Linked DNA regions of Arabidopsis thaliana. The protein of the gene in region 2 interacts with the protein of the main gene of each other region in a biochemical or structural test. Each region holds a gene or a part of one and is shown on either strand. Other genes may lie near its edges.

What was found. Proteins that work in one complex are often made in the same cells at the same time.
Region 1: the proteins of TTL3 (region 2) and BRL2 form a complex in vitro, tested with the Arabidopsis thaliana proteins (one study listed by BioGRID).

The regions. Positions count from the first base shown.
Region 1 is NC_003071.7:440,102-446,072, forward strand, and holds BRL2 (BRI1-like 2), read right to left. Parts: upstream 4,224-5,971; 5' UTR 4,136-4,223; coding exon 704-4,135; 3' UTR 523-703; downstream 1-522. UniProt on the Arabidopsis thaliana protein: Receptor with a serine/threonine-protein kinase activity, which may transduce extracellular spatial and temporal signals into downstream cell differentiation responses in provascular and procambial cells.
Region 2 is NC_003071.7:17,726,861-17,732,385, reverse strand, and holds TTL3 (tetratricopetide-repeat thioredoxin-like 3), read right to left. Parts: upstream 3,908-5,525; 5' UTR 3,532-3,907; coding exon 2,633-3,531; intron 2,546-2,632; coding exon 2,350-2,545; intron 2,270-2,349; coding exon 2,085-2,269; intron 1,997-2,084; coding exon 1,663-1,996; intron 1,582-1,662; coding exon 1,380-1,581; intron 1,297-1,379; coding exon 1,190-1,296; intron 1,078-1,189; coding exon 925-1,077; 3' UTR 550-924; downstream 1-549. Other genes in the region: GRF9 (general regulatory factor 9), read left to right, coding at 119-222. UniProt on the Arabidopsis thaliana protein: Involved in osmotic and salt stress tolerance. May play a role in the control of meristematic cell size during osmotic stress. May function as an adapter protein for BRL2 and may be required for signaling affecting leaf vascular tissue pattern formation.

The sequences.
Region 1 (5,971 bases), about 17 Mb from region 2:
ATTACTAGACAACCACCTACTTGATTCACATCAACAAGTATAAATTCACACATACTAATGAAGTAACACATTGAAATATATTCTCTTTTGTGGTTTGAAATACTATTCTCACAAAAAAAAATATTCTACTCACGAATGTATAGTCTTATAGTGTTAGATGTTCATAGGCCTGAAGGAGAAAGAGTCATTATGGGCCTAATGTTTCTATATTCTAAATAGTTCTTTATGGCCCAAATATAATTTTGAAACTTCAGTTGTTGAGCCCATTTGTATGTTCTCTATCCAAAGCCTAATCGTGTGTATTCGAGCGTTTAATAAAGAACAATTTTTTTTTTTTTTTTTTTCTAATACCAGGAAGTTCTGGGCCAATGTCGGTAATCCTTTCATGCACGAAACCACATCGTGTAATATTAGTTTCGTTTCAAGCGTTACTCAAATCGGCGTTCTCTAAGCTTCGTTTACGGTCTTTACCAATTGAGCTAACGACACTCGGTAATAAAGAACAATTCACCAACTAAGACTCTGATTTGTTATAATCTGCATAGTTATTTATTAAAGGAATCAGAATTTAAATTACATTAATTAAGTCTTGATACATCATGAAATTTTAATCATTGATCAACCACACATACACATTCTCACAGGAAAAAAAAATGCATTGAAAAAGCCAGAAAAACAAAAAAAAACAGAGATCTTCATGTTGTTACAAGCTGTTACTGTGACTGTGACTATTATTTTCACTTCCACGAAGTTCTCTCAACGAAGCAACAACTTGTAACATATTAGGTCTCTTTGATGGGAAATCGTCAACGCACCGTAACGCTATCTCCAAATACCTCAACATTTCTTTCACAATCACTCCTCCTTCAAAACCTTCTTTCTCATTCAGAGACTCCGAAGAACCTTCTTTTAGAAGGTCTTCATCAATCACTTCCATGTGTTTCCCTTCTCTTGCCTTCATCTTCGACCAACCTACTAAATTCGTATCACCAAACTCTTCTTTATCCGTTGGTCTTTTCCCGCTTAAGATCTCGAGCATCACTACTCCGATTGAGTACACGTCGCCTTTTGCGGTACATCTGAAACTTTGGTAATACTCTGGTGGTACGTAACCTGGCGTGCCTGCCAAGGTACTTACACTCAAATGTGTGTCTAATGCGCTGATCAGTCTCGCCATTCCGAAATCTGAAACTCTTGCTTCCATGTCTTGATCGAGAAGCACGTTGCTCGATTTCATGTCGCGGTGGATTATGTGAGGGATACAATTGTGATGCAAGAAACAAAGTCCTTTTGCTGCTCCTTTTGCAATCTTTTTCCTCTCTTCCCAACCTAAAATCCTCCGTTTTTCGCCTGTTCTTGGTCCGTGAAGCACCTCCTCGAGGCTTCCGTATTGCATAAACTCGTAAACAAGCAATCTCTCTTCCCCGATTTTACAGTATCCCAAGAGCGGTACGAGGTTTCGGTGTTTGATCTTCCCTAAGGTTTCCATTTCTGCCATGAACTCTCGATCTCCTTGACAACTAAGTCTAATGAGCTTCTTGATCGCCACGGAAGACCCGTCTTTAAGCGTCGCCTTAAAAACCTCACCGAATCCGCCGTGTCCGATCATACTCGCGGCTGAGAATCCGTTTGTCGCCTCGATAAGCTGCGAAAACTTAAGCTTTCTCAACTGTCGCTGAAACGTCGCTACATTAATACTCAACGGCTCTTTCTCCTTCTCTATCTTCCATGTAGTGGCGGAATTAACCGCCTGCAAACTGTGAAGCATCTTCGCATCATCCGCATCTCTCCTCCTCGCACGAACCGCAATCGCCCAAACGATTAAAATACAAACCGAAGCAGCGGAAATCAACACTCCCAAAACAATGCTATTCGCCCAAGAAGCTGCCCTAGTTCCGTGCTTAGCACGTTTCCCTTCCTCTGTTCCAGCAGGAAGCTGATTGTTTCCATTCTTACATTCCGGTAAAGGAACACCGCAAAGCCCCGGATTATTCGCGTACTGAGTCGCCGGAAGCGTGCTTAACTGACCTCTCTGAGGAATCGGACCAGTTAACTCGTTATTCGACAAATCAATCTGCACCAAGAAAGACAAATTCGAGAAAGATTCAGGGATTTGACCCTGCAACCGATTATCCGAAGCATCGAAAACACCGAGATTCTTGAGCTGACCAATCGTAAACGGAATCTCGCCGGAGAGTTGATTATGAGAAAGCTCAAGAACTTGAAGAGCAATCATTTCTCCAATCTCATCAGGGATTTTACCTCTAAGCTGATTATAAGAAAGATCAAGATACTCAATGGTTTGATATCTTGTGAATAGACTCAAAATTGGACCTGAATACATTCTTGTGAAGTCACAGCTTTTAAGAGATGGAATCTGAAGAAGCCTCTCTGGTCTGATCCCTGAGAACTCAACCAAACCTCCAACACCTTTACATGAGTTTCCAACGTTTCTAACAAAAGCCATTGTGTTTCCTGAGAGTAAACCGGAAAGTGCTTTTGAACCGGGTTGACGACCTAACCGGGGAGGGATTTCACCGGTTAAGTGGTTTGTGTTAAGATCAAGCCAAACCAGAGTTGTGCATTTTCCTAGCTCCGGTGGGATTTCTCCGGTGAAATTGTTGTTACCGAGCTGAAGAACGGCTAACCGGGAAAGGATTCCGAAATCTTTAGGCACTTCTCCGGTTAATCTGTTGCTTGTGAATGAGACCCATTCGATGTTACTGCAATTGAAAAATTCCGGTGGGATTTCTCCGGTGAGTTGATTGTTGTTGAGGATCAAATCTTTTAGGTTTTGTAGTTTTCCGATCTCCGGTGGGATTTCTCCGGCGATGTTGTTGTACCAAGCTATGAATTGCTCGAGTTTCTGGAGGTTTCCGATCTCCGGTGGGATTGTACCGTTGAGATAATTGAGACTGAGATCAATCGTTCGTAGCTCAGAGCATTGAGATATCGCCGGTGGAATCTCTCCGGTGACGAGATTATCCGGGAGTCTTAGCTCTTCTAATGAAGCTGCTCCGGGACATAAATCCGGTGGAATCACACCGGAGAATCGATTCGAGCTGAAGTCAGCGATTCTCAAGCTCTTACAAGCAGAGATTGAAGTCGGAAAGTCACCGGAGATTAAGTTGTTGCTGAGAAGTAAGATTTGAAGAGATCCAAAACTCCGGAGGATAGTGTTCGGAAACGGACCGGAGATGTTGTTGTTTGAAAGGTCAAGACTTTGTAGCCAAGAACATGAGGACAACGACTCAGGGATCACACCAGTGAAGTTGTTGTAAGAAAGCCGGAGGTTTTGTAATGACCGGCAAGTATCTCCGATCTCCGGCGGGATCCAACCGGTGAGTCGGTTATGAGAAAGATCCAAACTTTGTAAGAGTTTAAGCTCACCGAAAGATTTTGGAATCTGCCCATCGAAGTTGTTGTAAGAAAGATTCAAGCTTTTGAGGTTGGTGCAGTTGATGAGTGAGTCAGAGATATAGCCGGAGATACTGTTACCGGAGAAATCGAGATAGGTCATGGAGACGCAAGAAGAAAGAGGAATGGTTAAACCGGAGATTGGACCGGTAATGTTGTTGTAAGAAAGATCAAGGGTTTGGAGTTTCTTGCTGCTTAAGAAAAGATCATTAGGTAACTTTCCGGTGAAGTTATTGTAAGAGAGGGTGATGGAAATAAGATTTGAGTATTTGGAGAAGAAATTTTCAGGGAGGGTTCCGATTAAACCGGAGGAAGAGAGTTCGAGATGAGTTAGGGTTAAAGGAAGAAGAAGAAGAGAGGTTGAGTTTAAGACGAAGAAGTTCTCTGAGAGTTTGAGAACAGAGAGAGAATCAAGAGAGGTGAAAGCATTGAAGGAGACGATTCCGGAGAGGCCACTACCGGAGAGATTAATCTCGGTGACTCTTCCTCCGAGACAAGTGACGCCGGAGAATTGACAAGGGGATTTACGAGGTGACCAGTTTGAGAGAATGTTGTTTGGATCATCTTGGATCATTGTTTTGAAAGAGAGGAGTGATAATGAGTCGGTTTTGAGTGAAGATTGGTCGGAGGAGGAAGATTGTGAGAGATGGGTAAGGAGGAAGATGAAGGAGATTTGGATCCGAGTCCGGATCCGAACCCGGATTGGTGAAGTAGTCATTGGAGGGAGGTTTTTTGAGTTTGAATGGAGAAGGAGAAGTAAGTAAGTTGAAACATTTAGATGATAAAGAGACGATGCTAAAGCAGAGGAAGAAAAAGGGCTTTTTTTGAAGAAAAGAAAAAGCTGCTTTTAGGTAATTTATTAAGTTTTATTAATTGTTGATGCTTATTATTTTTAAAACATCTTTGTCGAATCGTTTTTTTTTACATATGATGTTTTTCTAATAGATGATTGATTTATTAAATGGTTATGATCAATCTTATGATTTTGTGGAATTGTGATCATGACTTGTAGTGATTTGTGTAAGTGACATTATTAATCTAATAGAATACATGTTGTTTGATAATCAAAAAAATTAAGTTCAGTTTATAGAATAAAACTCTAATATTTAGAAAAATATGTTTTCAGTTTCATTTAGTCCTATATCTATTTGTTTCTAATGGTTTCATAATTTTAATTCATTAAAGCTCCATGTGGGGATTTTGAACCTTAGAAAGAATTATGATCACTGCTAATTTTCTAAATGGGAATTGTATCTATGAGATGTTTCACAAATTTCAATGAAGAAAAAGTGTAGTATTATATAAACTTCCATTTAAAAATTTAGCTATATACTATTGTTGTATAACATTTCTTAAAATGATTTAAATATTAGTTGTATAACATTTCTTAAAATAATTTAAATATTAGATGACAAGCAACTAGATCTAATAAGAGTCGGAAGGAATTGTCCGTTGTAGAATCGTCTATGTAACAGTGCAATAAATAATAAATCTAAGACTGGCAAAAAAAAATAATTGACAAGCAACTGAATATGAATATAGTTAGTGATATAGTGACAACACTAATAAAAACGAACATAATAGAAATTCTAGTCTATAATCACATCAAGTTTGGAATTTTGGGATAATTTGTTTTGTTTTTGTTGTGTATTGTATTAATACTTTATTTAAAAAAAAAACAAAACCTTTTACAAAAGAATGGCAATTATATTGAAAGGAATTTTGGGAGAAATTATTCCAAACCGATATACAAATATTTCATATGGTGGGGTGTGTGGTCAAAATAATTGGGACCCAATTTAGTCATAATATGCATCGCATATGAAATGGTCTTTTGTAAAATTTGGTTGATCCAATGTTCACTGTCGAGGCAGAGGCGTGGGGGAATGAACAGAGAAGTGACTTTACAAATTACAATAACAAACTTTAAGGTGTAACCATAATGTTGCTCACTTCTTTTTCCATTTTTATGTGATTTTAATTAGTTTAGTTTCATATAATATGCCATAGATGAGCCTTTATATCATGTTCCATGTCACACACTCCATCCTTTTCATCATTACACTGCCTTCTTCCACCAAGTTTATGAGTAGATTTGTATGACTTAAGCAAAATATTAGCTTGATTATTTCAGCCAACGAGAAAATGCTATTTTGAAATGTTCATTGATAAATAATCATATACACATATTAAAGAAAAAAATATACACAAGTCATATTTTAAAATGTTTCAATTGGTTATACCCTAGCTACCATTCAATTGCACAAGAGACTATTTCTTTAAGATCAATAGTTTCTAGTAAGAAATAATTATTCTTAGAACATTTTTCCATTGCAATTAATAGTGCAAATCTTATCACCTATAGTGTGATTTTGTGTGTTATAAATTTGTAATATATCATACTGTTGAAGACTATAGAGTATATTTTATTGATTCTGTTTAATAAATAAAGGACCGAATAGTGGAGAGTAATAGAGAAAAAGCCCCACAAAAGAAACAACATCAATTAGCTCGTGGTTTAGTGGCATGAGAGGTTATGATTCCTTTGGCCCCA
Region 2 (5,525 bases):
TATCCATGGACATTCTTGATGATAGATAGTTGAAATAGCATCTGGAAGACGATTGCCAGTTTTTATCAATATATATTTTCACTTGGACTTCAACTGTTAATTTTGCATTTGTGTGCAGGAGACGATGCTCATAAGACGAATGGTTCTGCCAAACCTGGTGCTGGTGGAGACGATGCAGAGGTAAGTATAAGAGATTCCTTTACTCGGGGTAAATCAAATTAAAATAAGCCGATTTTGATTCAAGATTTCTTTGCTTATGTTGCAGTGATATGATATGTGTGCACCTGGACAATATGTTTCAAGAACTGAATGTGCGGTGAATAATAGTGAAAAGTAGAGTTTCTCTGTTCCCTATATCATGATTGTCTATGTTACTTGTACTCTGGTTTAGCCCTAAATGTCTCTCTGGTTTGAATGTATTGCATGCCTGTCTCAGGACACTCTTATTTGTAATTCACTACTGTCGTCTTACTATCTATCCTTATGGATCCAATCTTGAAACTTATATTCCTTCATTTCTGAATTGCTGAGATAGAAGCTGATTGGATTCGGTACTCTCTGATTCATATTCTGTCACTGATTGAATCAACAACACCAAATACAGTAAACTCTGTTCAGTTTCTTTCACTGGTGTGGTGAATAATCTAGCATACACAAGCCAAGCGTAAATAGATAATGAAGCTTGCATTTCTTGAATCATTGCGAACATTTACCCATACGTAATATGCCAAAGCAAGCAGAGCCAAACTCCAAAAAATAAATAAAGAAGAATTAGAATCGAATAAGAAGAAAGAATGAATAGTTTGTTGAATTTGACAGAAGAGCTCTTTCCCATCTTTCACATAGAATGCTTTCTGAGTCTTTTAAATAGGCTATTCGGATCGAATCATAGGGAAGCAGATAATGATGATAGGGCTTTTTCAATCATAAGAGGAAATGCTTTATAGAGTCCTCTAGAAACTGATGGCTAGGACAAACCATCTCCTTCACTTTATCTCCATTCTTGTACATCTTAAATGTCGGAACTTTCCTGATACTCTCTGCTTTCGCCAACGCCATGCTCTCCTCCACATCCACCTAATAACATTTCATTTTCTCAGTTAACACATTGAGAAACATAGGTTATACATATAAGTTTAGAAGAAAATGTGATATAAAAAGCATATTTGGAATGTGTTCTTGTTCTTACCATAAAGAAATGTACTAATGGATACCGAAGACATAAAGTGTTGATGAATGGAGAAATTTCTTCGCATTGTCGGTTTGATGATGATTTGAAATGAAATACAGAGACACCTGAAGAGAAATGTTTCCAACTTGAGCAAGACACGCAAAATCTCAACCTTTTGAGACAAATTGAAGTTTCTCATTAGACTTACCGGGAAGTGCTACGGATTTCTTGAACTTATCCAAAGTCGAAACCGCTTCAACTTCATTATTGAAACCTAGGCTTTTAGATTCTTGGCTTCTGTTCATTAGCACTGTTTTCGCTCTCTCTAGAGACTCTGCAACTTCACTGTCTCCTGGAAGTTCTCTTCTCAAGAACTCATAATCTTTAACCGCATCCTCCCACCTACCAAGCTATATATTTCAACACACATTGTCATTCGAATACACTGCAAAATTCTGTCAATAACTGATTATAGTAAGTTCTAATCTCACCTTTCCATATGAAGCAGCCCTACGTAGAAGTGCCTTGATGTAACTAGGCTGGCTTTTGAGCGCATGGTTACAATCTTCAACAGATTTCTCCCACAAACCGAGCTTATACCAACACGCTGCTCTGTTGCAGTACAAAACCGAATTGGAGTCATCTTGCTTGAGACCGTCTCCATAAGCTACACACGCTTCCGAGAATCTCCCCGAACTAAATAGCTCATTACCACGAGTACGTGCCCGCACAACCATCTTCACATTGTTTAAAACTGATACAACCTCAGGATTGGTTTGATCAAGCATCGCAGCTCTCTCTGCCTTGACAACCGCATTCTCAAATCTGCAACAAACCTATCATATCTACTCACTCACCGGTGGAGAAACAAAAATCCAAAGAATCACAACATTTCTGAGTTTCGAAAGCTCACCTTCCTAATGCCATATCAACTTGAGCTTGGATACAGAGCACATAAGCTTCAACTACCATACCAAAGAGTTTCACCTGCGGTTGAGAATGGTAATGATGATCCAATCTTGGAATGCAAGATACACAAAAATCCGAATCCTCTATTTGCTTAAGACGCAAAAAGGCTTCTGCTTTACAAGCTACAAGCTGTCCAAACCAATAGAAAAAACCTCACTGTTAGTCAAAAATCTTTACAAGCATATCATACGACAATGATATGTAATCACCTGAGGAGACGAATCAGCGCCGTTTGCAATGGCTGCATCGGTTTCCTTAATCGCGGTTTTCCAATCTCCAATCTTTCGAGCCTCCCAGCATCGTCGGAGATGCTTCTCCAGCGTCTGTAGCCGTTGGAGATCAGCTTGATCCGGACATTGACCAGAAAAACAAATGTGACGTCTTGCATTCTCAGCTTCACCCAATCTAAAGCAACAATTCACTCCATCATTTCAAATTCTCAATCTTTAAACTAAAAACACAGCAACAAAACAAAAAGCCTCTCAAGATTACCTGAGATAGAGAGAAGCAAGTCTTTGGTGAGCTCTGGAGTAAGAAGGATCAATCCTAACAGCTTCAAGACATTCTTTAACGGCTTCTCCTAACCGCCTCAATGCCGTTAAAGCCGCGGCACGGTTGCTTCTGTAAGCTGCATTTCCCGGTGAAATCAAAATTGCTCTGTCATAAAGCGACAGAGCTTCAGAGAAACTCCCTCTCCTATACATATCATTCCCCATTCTCTTCAACTCCTCCGGGTTTTCGCCATTCTCCGCCACTCTCACCGCCTTTCCGCTGGTTCCTCCTCCTCCGCCGCTGCGTACAACGTTTCCATGTCCGTAATTACCAGTTCCTGTGCATAGAGTCTCAGTCCTACTTGAAGTCCGAGACGCCATTCCAGTTTTCAAGATCCGACCCGACGGACAAATATTTCCCGCCGGTAAAACGCCAGTATTGGGAGACACTGCCGACGTAGCACCGCTACCACCTCCTTGTGGCGAGGTGTGACTCGTTGCTGAAGTAAAGCTAGAGCCAGAGAAGATCAAAGGCGTGCCAGTAGAAGAAGATCTTCTATGACCCGGTTTAAGAATCCGGGTCGTGGTCGGCATTCCGGATCCGGGGCTAGAAAGCTCACCGGAATGACTCTTGTAAGCATCATCTAACCGTTTAGCCATCTGAGAACTCACCGACGGTTTACCAGAAGCAGAGCCAGAAGAGCCAGAGCTGCTAGTAGGAGTCGCAGCAGCGGAAGAAGAAGCAGAGCCACGTGGCATTAAGGTAGAAACAGGAGAACCTAGATCGAGTTCTCGAAAATCAGGTTTGTTGACGTCATCATCATTTCTCTGTAAATCACGAAATCGACCAGTGATTGAATCTATAGCAGGTTCCAACGAAAGTCTTCTAGAATGAGACATCGTCGTCACTTCCTCGTGAGCTGAATCTAAAATGAGACTCAGCTTCCTTTTCTTCTTCTCAGAGAAGTCAAGAGACCACCACCGAAGCTTTTAACGCCGGACAGAAACAAGTACTGTCTTCAGAGAGAAGAGAGAGAAAGAAGAGGAAAAAGAAAGACAGATCTCGTGATAAATAGAAAAGGAAGACGCAAAGAATTAAGATGAAGAAAAAAAAAAGGATTAACCTTGATTAATAAAGATTACGGATTTATCTCCCTGAAGATTATGACATTGATCTTCTTCTTCATCTTCTGTTTATCTCTCTTCGCTCCCGTGTCTTCACGGCTACTTGTCGTTGAAGAAAATAATACGGTGATTTATCGAATTTATTATTAATTAATAAACTCTATAGTCTAAAATAGTTGACTTTTTAATTTTGAGCACAGTGTTCGAATATAAACTAATTAGACTTTTTCTAACATTTAATGAATTTAAGTTTTCTTAATAAATTAAAACATTTAACCCCTTACTAACTAACTACATCTTTTTTTTTTGGTGCACACTAACTAAGTACTAAAGTACATCTACTTTCAAATTGTTGCGTTGTGTTACGGAAACGAATTATGATATAGTACATTGTATCTGTTAATTTGTATGAATGTTAATTAGTATTTAAAATTACTAGCTTCTGACGTCAAGGGCACGAAGATTCAAGCACGTTCACTCATGTTCCCAAAATGTTACTCTATCGAAATGTATAACATCATTTATTAATACAGACTATGCAATAGCATAAGCAAGGCAAGCTAGCTATATGTACTAGTATCATATTAGGATTTTTTAAAAGTAAACACTAAACCTTCGTAGGATATTCAATGCGCCACGACATGTTACTATTTTATCATTATTACTAGTATTTTTTTGTTGCAATATGTTTCATTTATCAAACCCACTTTTAGGGTCGTTGTACAGAAGTCTCGCATTAAATTGGCCGACTCAATTTTTATTAAATTGAATAATTGTAATGGTATTTTTTAGACATTAACATTTTAACTAGTGTTTAGTTAGTTGTAAAAAAAAATCTGGACAAATTACTAAGAAATAAGAAGTTATATTCTAGAAAGTAAATCTAATGATTATTTCTACAGATACAATAGATTTTTATTATAAAAAAAAATTAGTTAGAAGTATGTCAACAAATCACAGACTTTTGGAGTTTGGTTAAACTATTTGACCAAGAAAAATGAGAAAAAATGCCACGTAAGGATTTCAACCCTCGTACTCAGAGACAGCAAGATAGAGGGTAAAATCGTCATTCGATGTAAGATGTATTTATCAAGCCAGCCAAACTTTTGTTTAAGCCACCATATATATTGTACTATTATAAGCATATAAAGTAATCTTTTATTGCAATAGCCAATTTAAATGTAAATAACAAATGTGTGTAATGCAACAAAAATAAAGAAAATTACAAATGAAAGTTCAATATCTATTGCAGAGCTGGCATTTTTAAAATCTTCATTTTGGTTTTCGGGTGTCCTTTGAAAAGGCTGTCATAGTTCTCTTTTTTTCTTTTCTGGGGATTACTGTTTAATTCATTCGATATAGAGTAGTTAATTTGCTGAAACTCATAATTAATTACTTTGTATTAACTATTTACTGTTTCTAGTAGATCATGGCCAGTCCGTACCGTTCAGACCTACGGAACCACTAATTACATTGAACCAAGCACCATGCATGCCTTCATTTTATTTTATTTTTCTCTAGCTAGGTCATGCCTCGCACCCTCAAATTATTTTCCATATATAGTCAATTAATTTTCTCTTGACTTTTTCTTAAATAAATTATTTCGCTATATAAAAATATTTAAAACAATAATAGGATAATTAAGAACATAACGATAATAAATAGTAAATACTAATTAAAGAAAAAAAAGGATAAAAAAATAGAAGGGTGTTGCGGTAATTATGGGGATAATTGCAAAACGGTGATCATGCCAGCTGGTTATTGACTTC